Coturnix japonica: one gene and its partner. The protein of the gene in region 2 purifies or fractionates together with the protein of the main gene of each other region. This does not show direct contact. Links are inferred from orthologs where the notes say so. Each region holds a gene or a part of one and is shown on either strand. Other genes may lie near its edges.

The links.
Region 1: the proteins of POLR1E (region 2) and POLR2F purify together in Homo sapiens (affinity purification with mass spectrometry; 4 studies listed by BioGRID and IntAct, with this or other methods). This does not show direct contact. The link is inferred for Coturnix japonica from reciprocal best matches to the Homo sapiens genes POLR1E and POLR2F.

What each region holds. Positions count from the first base shown.
Region 1 is NC_029516.1:46,598,890-46,603,137, reverse strand, and holds the start of POLR2F (DNA-directed RNA polymerases I, II, and III subunit RPABC2), read left to right. Parts: upstream 1-1,448; 5' UTR 1,449-1,545; coding exon 1,546-1,565; intron 1,566-1,871; coding exon 1,872-1,941; intron 1,942-2,030; coding exon 2,031-2,161; intron 2,162-3,598; coding exon 3,599-3,670; intron 3,671-4,248. Other genes in the region: C1H22orf23 (UPF0193 protein EVG1), read right to left, coding at 391-576, 1,045-1,107, 1,307-1,385. UniProt on the Homo sapiens protein: DNA-dependent RNA polymerase catalyzes the transcription of DNA into RNA using the four ribonucleoside triphosphates as substrates.
Region 2 is NC_029547.1:66,746,119-66,753,677, forward strand, and holds the start of POLR1E (DNA-directed RNA polymerase I subunit RPA49), read right to left. Parts: upstream 4,236-7,559; 5' UTR 4,161-4,235; coding exon 4,100-4,160; intron 4,024-4,099; coding exon 3,920-4,023; intron 2,098-3,919; coding exon 2,021-2,097; intron 44-2,020; coding exon 1-43. Other genes in the region: ZBTB5 (zinc finger and BTB domain-containing protein 5), read left to right, coding at 5,614-5,741. UniProt on the Homo sapiens protein: Component of RNA polymerase I (Pol I), a DNA-dependent RNA polymerase which synthesizes ribosomal RNA precursors using the four ribonucleoside triphosphates as substrates.

The DNA of each region.
Region 1 (4,248 bases), on a different chromosome or scaffold from region 2:
GCCCTGCTTTGCTGTTAACGATGGCAGAGGAAGCATGATGTAAGTGACAGCACAGCCCCAGACTGAACTCTGCTACACATGGTAATGGGCAAACCAGTCTGAGCTCTAAAGTTTCACCCTTGTTTACAAGCTAGAAAATTACACAGTGATCTCTTCTTACAAAGGATTGTGCAAGTTCCTGTCACCTATTGTCCCCCTGGGCAGCAGGCAGAACTCTGTGAGCATTTGCAGCAGGCGCTCCCTCAGAGATCTCCCTTTAAAGCATCTTTGAAGACAGAAAGCATGAAGAATAATTAAGGATATTCCCTAAAGGTGCTGAGGGGTTAGACATAAGGGAAAGAGAAGAACTGGACAGCATGATTTATTTATCTGTGATGTTTGCTTACTTACGCCTTGCCTGTGGCCTGAATTTCTCTCGGATGTAGGCATCTCCTGCTCGGCAGACCTCAGCAGGCCGAAGATGGGGTTTAGCTGGCAGCTTGCTTGGCTGATGGCACGGTGGGGAGGAAGCAGGAGGCGCGAGCACTTGTTCTTGGCTGGAGGTAGGGTGGCATTGGAGGGGCAGAGAATCTCCCCCTGGAGAACAAACCCAACATATTGATGTCAGATGCAGAGGAGTCTGGGCAAGTGGCCCCAGCCTACCACCAGCAGAAGGTCATAAAACCATAAAATGGCTTAAGTTGGAAAGGACCTCAAAGACCACCCTGTTCCAACCTCCTGCCATTGGTAGGGCTTCCATCCACCAGGTCAAGCTGCTCAACTTGGCTTTGGGCACCTCCAGAGGTGGGGCACCCACAGCTTCTCTGGGCAGCCTGTGCCAGCACCTCACCACCCTCTCAGTGAAAAATTTCTCCCTAATATCTAACCTAAATTTCCCCTCTTTTAGTTTAAAGCCATTCCCCCTTGTCCTGTCACCATTACGCAGTGTAAAAAGTCCATCTCCATCCTTGTAAGCTTCCCTCAAGTACTAGAAGGCCGCAGTGCAAGCAGCAGAGAGCGTTCAGCACAGTGCTGGGGAAGGAGTGCCAGGTGGGAAGCACTCACGCCTCAAACAGTCCATCAGGAATCGCCTCTGGAAACTCGTCAGCTTCGACTCCTCCATCAGGGCTAAAAAACAACAGCTACGTGTTACTACACAGCACAGTGGGCTGCCCCGGCCCCGCAGAGCCCAGGACACGGCCCAGGACAGGACCCAGGACAGGATCCAGGACAGAGCCCAGCACAGGGCCCAGCACAGGACCCAGGACAGGGCCCACAACCGCCTTCCCCGAGTCCCCGCGGCCTTCCATCCCTCATAACCCGTTACCTCTCAGCACCTCTCGTGTCTCGGGGCTGTACCGGGCTCTGCCTCTTCCCGCTGGCCTCGTTCCCGTCGATAAGGCCATGGCTGGTGGCGACGGTGGGAGAACAATTAGGGACAGCGGGGCAGGCGGAGCCGCGTCCTGTCTCTGTGGCAACGGCGCCGCCGGTTTACTTCCGGAAACGTGACGTCACGGCGCACGACCGGAAGTGGGTAGTACTTCCGCCGGGGAGCGAGGAAACAAGATGTCGGACAACGAGGACAAGTGAGAGTGGGGCTGAGGCTGAGGCTGAGGCTGAGGCTGAGGCTGAGGCTGAGGCTGAGGCTGAGGCTGAGGCTGAGGCTGAGGCTGAGGCTGAGGCTGAGGCTGAGGGCTGAGGGCTGAGGGCTGAGGGCTGAGGGCTGAGGGCTGAGGGCTGAGGGCTGAGGGCTGAGGCTGAGGGCTGAGGGCTGAGGCTGGGGGCTGGGATCAGAGATCAAAGCCTGGACTTAGAGACGGTCCAGCGCTAAGTCCGAGTCCAGGCGCTGTCTCCCGGCCTGTGTGCGATGTGTGCTTGCCTGTCTCTCACAGCTTCGATGGGGATGACTTCGATGATGTGGAGGAAGACGAGGGGCTGGATGACCTGGAGAACGTGGAGGAGGTGGGTGCTCTGCGGGGCTCCGATCATGGATCATTCCGGGTCATGGAGTCAGCCCGTAACGGTGCTGTGTCGTGCTGTGCTTTACCCAGGAGGGACAGGAGAACGTGGAGATCCTCCCCTCCGGAGAGCGCCAGGCAGCGAACCAGAAGCGAATCACCACCCCCTACATGACCAAGTATGAGAGAGCCAGAGTGCTGGGCACACGTGCCCTCCAGATCGCGTGAGTATTAGCTGGATCCCTGCTGTAGGACTGTGTGCTTCTCATGGCTTGACCTGTTAAAGCTCCTTCCTTTCTCCCTAAAGCCTTAAGTGATTCTTTACCTGGCGGTTCCGCTTGGGAATCGCCATCTCCATCAACAGTGAAAAGCAATAAAAAGCAATACTGTGAGCTGTCAGCCACACGTGAGTTCTGAATCTCACCCCAGCTGATGCTGTGGGTCACAAGCAGATGGAGTGGGTAACGTGGCATTCTGGTTCTGCTTTCTGCCTTCTATAAGGCAGCCAGCATGAGCTGGGAAACTCAGAACTACTACTGCAAAGTTCAGCTTTGAGGAAGCTGAATAAAAGTAATAAAGTAATATCATTAATTATTATCACAAGGCTATCAGAACTCTAGGAATGGCACAGCTGTCTTGAAATACTAAGCATACGGTTATATTGTGGCACACTGTATGTTCACTAACTATTTGGAATAGTGGAGCATCACTTCTAATAGGTAATAACATTTAAATCCTCTTTTAAGCACTCCTTAAGACAAGTTCCTCTCAAATTCTTCCTTTTATCTGTCCAGATCTGTTTTAGTAATGCCTGCTAAAACCTTTGTGATCTTTGAGAAACTGCTGTGTAAGTGAGATGATTAGGCTGTGTTGAAATTGGTCTGAAAGGAATCTTAGCTACATCCACCCTGAAAATGAAGCTGATTCGATTACCACCAATGAGCTTCTATGTGATCTTTGCTTAATCATCACTTTGCTGAGCTATTCTTCGCCTGGTTATCACTCCAGGAAGGAATTCTGTGCATGTTGTTTCAACTGGTGGCAGGCCAGAAGGATGGAAGAGATGGGATGAGCCAGTGCCAGGCATTTAATACAAAACACTGGTGCCTGGTCTCTATCACCTCCGTATTCTGTTGACTATTGATGTTGACTCTAGGCCAGCAGCAGCCCCCCAGTGGCTTTACCCACACATAATGTGAACTTCTGTTGCTTCTGCTGCCACCTGAGACAGTTGTCAACTGTGTTTGCTTTACTGTTACAGCCCTCACCAAAACGCATTTGTTTTTTTGCTCTAGAGATAGAGTGCATTATAAATCTAGCCCTTTGTTTTCCTTTGAAGGAAGCCTTGAAGATTCAAGCAAGTCAGATTCCCATTTTATAGTGTTCCAACTCTATTATTTTTAATTTTAGATCTGCCCTTATTCTTCACATATAAGTACAGCACAGTGAGACTAGACAGGTGTGGTTCTGACCAGCACTCAAGTCCCAGCTGACTTGCAGAGGATGAGGGGTGGATTAAGAGCATTCAAATGAAAACTCAATCCGTAGCCACTTGGGGATAACCTTTGTCCCAGAGTGGATAAGAGTGCAGCATGCAGTCATATGTTGGCCCTTCTGTCTTTCTGTACATTCTCTGAAATGGCTGTTGCTGTTTGTCCCAGGATGTGTGCACCCGTGATGGTGGAGCTGGAAGGAGAGACAGACCCCTTGCTGATTGCCATGAAAGAACTCAAGTAAGTCCCAGCCTTAGGCAGTGTATGTATTGTTTTCTACAAAGCAAGCTATCCTCTGCTTATCTCAGCACTTTACAACTTATTCCATGCAGTATATTCTAAGACAACCTTCTTTTTTTATCAACCACGGTGAGTTCTGCAGTTTCCTTCCACTTTTCCTCCTTGGACCTTCTCCACAGCTTCTCCCATCCTAGGAGTTCTTGCTGATGATGAGCAGTGCTCTGACCTCTTTTTATATAAGAGTCATTTCTATGATGAGAACCAAAGATCCCCATAAGGAATCAGTTTAATTCTCTGAAAGGAATTAATTTGAAGCAGCCTTCTGAACAGACCTGTGCTCAGATGAATTGCTGACTTAAATAAACAAAACTGGGGTCAGGGTGGTGATGTGGAGACTCTGGTCAGAATGTTGTTTCACTGCACCCTTCTATACTTGGCTTATTGTGCTGGCAGGAGACGCACCTCTTGCATACAGAGAGATTGATTTGAACCTTTTCTGGCAGTTTCTGGATCACTGCTTAGAGGCCCACAGCAGAGTGCCCTGGTGGCACACAGTTTGCCAGTGTAGAAAGCAGGTT
Region 2 (7,559 bases):
TTCCATTTGCCCAGAATCCTTGTTTAAAACACCAAGAAAATACCTGGGGAGAACAAGTGCAAGTGATAACCAATGAGACTCTCAGAGCTGAGAAAAATGAACTTAAAATCTCTAGAATAGGTTAATTTCTAGCAAGTCAAATCTTTTTCATTTCACACTTCAGACGAGCAAACCCAAATAGTTTGTGCTGCTCCTCACCACAGAATCATAGAACAGACTCATAGAATCCTTAGAGTTGGAGGGGACCTTTAAATGTCATCTAGTTTGTATTTGGAAAGAAAAATTTAATAATCTATATCACGACCCTTTCAAAAGAACTAACATAAGGACATTAAATGGCTGGAAGCACCTCATCTTAACAGTTTCTGCAATTCTGTTTACTCTTTGTTGTGTCACCCCACTTCTACTTTAAGTAGTCCCCATAGTCAGAGTAGAAATAAACCACGAGCAAATATTGCAGGATGAATGTAGCACATTCATGGGGCAAAGCGCTTGCTAACAGGAGCCTGACACCCACACCAAACGTACATCAGAGCTCTGTAGGTTAGATATGACAAAGTGAGATGATTTTACACTGGTTTTCCACCTATACAAAAGGTCATTCTGCTAGAGGATGGGAATGATCCCCCATGCAAAATAATTCTTAGGAATTCACGGGATTTGTCTCCAGGCTACAAAGTTCACCTTCTGAAACCAGGACATGTGAAAACTGGTGATTTCACCAAGGCTTCCCATTGCAGCATGAGGCACAGACAAGTTATTAATTCATACAGCACCACCAGACTGTGGCCCCGAAGTTAAACGGTGACTAATGACCCACTGGTTTCCTGAACAAGATACTGATCTTGACAGTTGTAAGAAGCCATGCTTTTTACATTACTGTCTCAAAGTCTGCTGAAATGGACAAGTTCAGGCAAGTCCTGGCCAAGGTTCCAGGACTGCCTTTGTCTGAGACACACAGGAGATGGACAAGTCCGGGAGCTACGAAAGGGAGATAAGATACTGATCAATGGCCCTTGAGTGGTCTTTTTGTGTTGGCCTATCTCAAGGAAGATGGCCATCCCTGAGGACTAATGGCCCTTAAGTGGTCTTTCCTGTTGGCCCATCTCAAGGAAGATTGACATCTCTGAGGAAGTCACAGGACTCTGACCCGAGCCTTCCCGAAATCTCTGGAAGGCTGGAAAGAAGGATAAAAAGGGCACGGACAAACCACGGTTTTGTGGGCATCTAGGTATCCGACCTCAGATTCCTCCACCGTTGTCCTACTGCTGCCTATTCTCTTTTCTGGGATTGCTGCTCGAGACTCTGCTCCGAGGGACCTCGCTGCCCGAGACTCTGCTTCTAGAGACCACGGTACTCTGACCATCTTTTCTGCGATTCACCGATCTGCTGTTTGCAGCCTGCTACTCCGTTGCTGCTCTCCCCTACGCTTATTTTGCCCCGGACCAACGTTAACAACGTGCTACGGGACGCTGCTGCATCCAGGAGGTGACTATTCCCCGCTTTAACGTAATTCTTGCTCTTTTCTACCTTTTTCTATCGCCTACTTTCCCTTCCCCATCACCCTAATTTTGGCATTCGTCACTCTCCCTTCCCCATCCCCTCAATTGTCTATTATTTCCAATAAACTGGTCGGATCAACATTTGAATGCTCTTCTTCTTAATCTCACGCCGGGCATAACATTATTAAAAGAACCTTTGCCTCACTCCTAAATTGGAGCGAGACAACAGTTAAGAAGGAATAATGCTGTTGTCCATAGGTTTCAGCTATGTGCAGACACCTTCTCACTTTTCTTCCCTCCAGCAGACCTAAACTCCACTTATGTGTAAGATCACAACATGCAAAATGGTGCAGCTGCCAGGAGATTATATCAACTGCCCCAATCCTCTCCATTCACACCATGGTCTCAATGAGAACTCATCAGTCCCCAATACAGAAGGCTACAGAAAATACTTTATTTGTGCAGTTCCTCTGCTTTCCCCTCCCTGTTTCTGCCACAGCGTTGCCAGCTACCCATACCTGCATAGGGAGTTGCTTTTCATAGATCCACTGCTGAAGTTATTCCCCACGTATGAAAGCCTTTCAGTTTCTGAAACCTGACAAACAAAGAAAAAAATTACTTGAAGAGTGCATTATTTGAAAGTGCATATTTTCCTGCATGTACTGTATCTCTAGTGACACAAAGCTCAAATTTGCCACGGTCACCATAGAATCACAGAATTATCAAGGTTGGAAAAGACCTACAAGATCATCTAGTCCAACCATTACCGATATTTCTCAGCTAAATCATATTCCTTTACTTTACTTTACATATTCCATTTACTTTATACTTTATAAAGTAAATAAATAAACCATCCTTTAAAGCAGTAGGAGCAGTCTGTGAAAGAGGCAGTGGAAAGGAGCATTCTGTACCAGTCACCTGCACATCCTACTCGCAGTGCTTAAGGTTGCTTGATGCAGTTACTCAAAGCCTTTCTCGGTTTACAGAACAAGTGTTAGATGTCAGAATGAGCCAAGTGGCACAGAGCTGTGGGAAGGCAACATTACAAACCAGAGGATCATCACCCCGGGGGTGCCCAAGGAACGACTGGATGTTGTGTTGAGGGACATGGTTTAGGGGGAGCTATTGGTAATAGGAGAACGGTTGGACTGGATGATCTTTAGGACTTTCACAGAATCACAGAATGACCCAGGTTGGAAGGGACCTCAAGCATCATGTAGTTCCAACCCCCCTGCCTAGCAGGGCCACCAAACATACACATTTACTAGATCAGGTTGCCCAGGAGACCCTATAGATCCCCATAGAGACCCCATAGAGACCCACAGATCCCCACAGAGACCCCACAGACCCCCATAGATCCCCACAGAGACCACATAGACCCCATACATCCCCATAGAGACCCCACAGACCCCGTACATCCCCATAGAGACCCCATAGACCCCGTACATCCCCATAGAGACCCCACAGACCCCATACATCCCCACAGAGACCCCATAGATCCCCACAGAGACTCCACAGATCCCCACAGAGACCCCATAGACCCCACAGAGACCTATAAAGACCCCATAGACCCCAAAGATCCCACATAGAGACCCCATAGATCCCCATAGAGACCCCAAAGACCCCCACAGATCCCCATAGAGACTCCACAGATCCCACAGATACCCATAAACCCCCATAGAGATCCCCATAGAGACCCCATAGACCCTCACAGATCCCCATAAAGACCCCATAGATCCCAATAGAGACCCATAGAGACCCCTTAGATCCCCATAGAGACCCCATAGACCCCCATAGAGACCCCAAAGAGACCCCATACACCCCAAAGAGACCCCATACACCCCAAAGAGACCCCCACAGAGACCCCATAGAGACCCATAGACCCCCATAGAGACCCCATACATCCAAATAGAGACCCCATAGACCCCATACATCCCCATAGAGACCCCATAGACCCCCATAGAGACGCCATAGACCCCACAGAGACCCATAGAGACCCCATAGACCCCACAGATCCCCACAGAGACCACATAGACACCATAGATCCCCATAGAGACCCCCATAGAGACCCAGAGACCCCATAGATCCCCATAGAGACCCCACAGATCCCCACAGAGACCCCATAGAGACCCCACAGATCCCCACAGAGACCCCATAGAGACCCCCATAGAGACCCCATAGAGACCCCAGAGATCCCCATAGACCCCCATAGACACCATAGATCCCCATAGAGACCCCCATAGAGACCCACAGAGACCCCACAGATCCCCATAGTGACCCCATAGAGACCCCACAGTCCCCATAGATCCCCATAGAGACCCCACAGACCCCACAGATTCCCCACAGAGACCCCACAGATTCTCCATAGAGACCCCATAGACCCCATAGATCCCACCCCCGGTGATGCCGGGCCTTACCAGGATCCTCCGCCTTCTCTTCCTGGGGTTGGACACCTCGCTGCTCCGGTACAGCGAGAACCGCACGGCGTCGGGTCGCTGCAGCTGCCCATTGGAGAACGTCACTACGGGCGATAAAACAGGCCGTGAGTCCCTCAGCACCTCACCGCACCGCACCGCCCATCCCGCATCTCTGCTCACCCAGCACTGCCGGCTGCTCCTGCTCGGGATCCCCGCGGTATCTCCACGTGGCGGTGGCCATACCCGGTACACACAGGAACAGGCCAGGCGCCACGCCGTAATGGCGGCACTTCCGGTGGGGGCGCTCCGAGATGACGTCACATCCTCTCGTCAATATGGCGTCATTTCCGGCCGACGCGGCGACAGGGTGGGAGCGGGGGTGGAGCGCGGGGCCGGAGCGTCGTAGCGCGGCGGGTTCGGTGCCGCTGGGCCCGGTGTGAGCGGGGAACAACAGGGGAACAGCACGGGAACAACAGGCGGTGTGCCGGCCCCGCTGCCCGCACTGCTTCACTGGTGCTGAAGGAGGAGCCTGGAGCGGGTCTGTAACGGCGGCGGTGCCCACTGCGGTCACTGGAGGGAGGGACAGAGCGATGGGATGCGTTACACGAGGGGTGGGGTGTGAGGGGGTCCTGGTGTGATGCTAGGAGGGTTATAGGGTTATAGGGTTATAGGGTTAGGGTTGGGGTTAGGGTTAGGGTTGGGGTTAGGCCCTCCTGTCTCACGTTCATGTCGTTGCTCATCATAGCCGTGATGTGGAGGACGGTACTTGGGTTGGGGAGGTGCTAACACGCTGCTAGCACCTTGTAGCCAATGGCATACTGGGGTGTATTAAAAAGAGTGTGTCCAGCAGGTTAAAGGAGGTGATCCTCCCACTCGACTCTGCCCTATTAAGGCCTCATCTGGAATATTGTATCCAGTTCTGGGCTCCCCAGTACAAAAAAGACAGGGATCTCTTGGAAAGACTCCAGTGGAGGGACACAAAGATGGTGAAGGGCCTGGAGCGTCTCCCCTATGAGGAGAGACTTAGGGAACTGGGTCTGTTGAGCCTTGAGAAAAGAAGGCTGAGAGGGGACTTGATCCAGGTTTATAAATACCTGAGGTGTGGGGGCCATAGTGGTGAGGCTGGTCTCTTTTCAGTAGTGTGTGGGGATAGGACTAGGGGTAATGGGATGAAAGTACAGCATAGGAAGTTCCTTAATAAGAACTTCTTTACAGTGAGGGTGACGGAGCACTGGAACAGGCTGCACAGGGAGGTGGTGGAGTCTCCTTCTCTGGAGATATTTAAGACCCGCCTGGACGCCGAGCTGTGTGACATGGTGTAGGGAGCCTGCTTTGGCAGGGGGGTTGGACTCAATGATCTCTAGAGGTCCCTTCCAACCCCTACAATTCTGTGATTCTGTGACAGCGCCTCTGTCCCTACCTGCTGTTTCTTGCTAACTTGGAACTTAGAACTAGAGGGAATGGTTTTAAGCTGCGTCAGGGGAGATTCAGGCTGGACATTTGGAAGTATTACTTTTCAGAAAGAGTATTCAGGCATTGGAATGCACTGCCCAGGGAGGTGGGGGAGTCACCGAGCATGGGAGTGTTCAAGAAATGTTTGGATGTGGTGCTGAGGAATATGATTTAGCCTGGAAGTATTGGGAATTGTTGGACTAGATGATCTTTTCCAACCTTGCTAATTCTGTGATTCTCTAATGGTGTGGGGCATCTGTTACACCCGTCTTGCAGCTGATGGTTTGTCTCATGCTGACAGACCCATGTGGTGGATAAGCTGGGAGCCAGTCTGCTGCTGTGCCGTAAGCCTGTCTGTTACAGGAGAAAGGTCAGTCAGCACTGATGTCTGTGTCAAGTCCAGAACGCAGTTGTGTCTTGGAGCTGACCAGATGTGCTTAATTTCTTCCTCTACCCTTTCAGAATTGCTCAGGAGTTTGATTCAGCATCCACACTTGAAAATCATGGCAATTGTTATTTACTAAAATATTTTTGTTTCACATCGTTGTGTGTGCTACATAGGTTGCTCTGAAAGTAATGCCTCCTGTTTATGTCTGTGGAAACTACAACAGTTAGATCACTTGGTAGAGCAAATGCTCCGTTACCAAGCACTGTTCTTCAGCATGGTAACCACCATTAGCAATGCATTTTCATGTGTGCTAAACTTTTATGGAGCACAAAGAGTGGATGTGGGCACAGTGAGGCGGTGGATGCTGCGTTTCAGCAGTGGTGACAGATGTCACCTCTGCTGGTGCAGATTTACATGAGGGTGGTATGCAGGCCCTCGCTCAGCAGCCATGTCATAAAATACACAGAGCCCTGTAAGTCATTTGTATAGACTTACTTCCTTCTGTGTGTGGAATGACAGGGTTGGAGTTTTTTCAGTGAGTTTTGGATCACCATAAGCAGATCATTCAGCCATTCTTATATAAAGCAACACAGTGGTGGGTTGAATCAGCAATGTGGATATAGGTACTTTGCTAGGTTGAAGACAGGATACTAATGCAATCTTTGTAGAGCTGGCCTTGTTACTCTGTTACAGTCACTTCTGTGGCAAGAACAGTTTTCTTCAGCAAGTTTCTGCCTAGAGTTTGTTTAAAGCCTCTCACAAAGCCACTGTCAGAATCACTGGGGAATCAGAATCACCAGGTTGGAAAGGATCTACAAGATCATCCAGTCCAACCGTCACCCCAATATTGTAGCTACAGCAAACACTAAACCAGATCTCGCAGCTAAGTTGGACAGTTCTTCCAGATAATCAAGAATGTCTAAGAAATATCTAGCATTTTTAACAAAGTTTTCAGTTGCTCCGTTTAGAATTGCTCTTTGCAGCTGACAAGGCTAGGCTGTTAGTGCTTATTGATAGGCTAGTATTGCTATAGGTTGCAATATGGGTTGTTAATACTTTTCAAGTGATGAGAGCATATTACATTACAAAGTAATCTCTTCCCTGGAAGGTGGGTGCAATCAGCAGCAGCTTTTGCAGTACAGTTTTCTGATTCTTAGGCAAGTAATAACTCATCCTCCCTGATCACTGGGAAACAAATGCTGTGAGATGAACACCTGGCAAAGCAGAAACTTCAGATGAGCTGCTCTGAGTTAAATTGACAGTCATCAAGGTTGCTAATTGCTGGTGTTTTCCTGTGTCATTTTCAGGCACACACAAAGAATGCCTTTCACAGCTGGCATTTGGCATATTAGTGCATATGTGAATGCAATGTAACACTGATGACTACTTCAGTTGTATGGAAGAAACCCAGAATTCATTTAAGCTGCTGCTAACTAAAGATCCTCTATTTTTTTTCCTGCAGTTTGAAAATGCTGTTAGGTCAGAGAGTGAGTTGTGCTTCAAGTGATCAAACCTGCTGGAAGTGTTGAAGAAAGCTGGGGGTCCCATTTCCTTCTGTCTGTAATTCTGTAAAGCGCTCCCCCTGCAGTGAAAGGCTGAGCGAGCTGGGCATGTTCAGCCTGGAGAAGGGAAGGCACAGGGGAGACTTTGCATTTACCTTCCAGTACCTAGAGGACCCTACAGGAAAGCTGAGTTTGACTCTTCTGCAGAGATTGTAATGTTAGGACAAGGACTGATGGCTTCAAGCTGAAAGAGTGGAGACCTAGGTTATGTCTTAGGAGAACATTCTTTATTCATGAG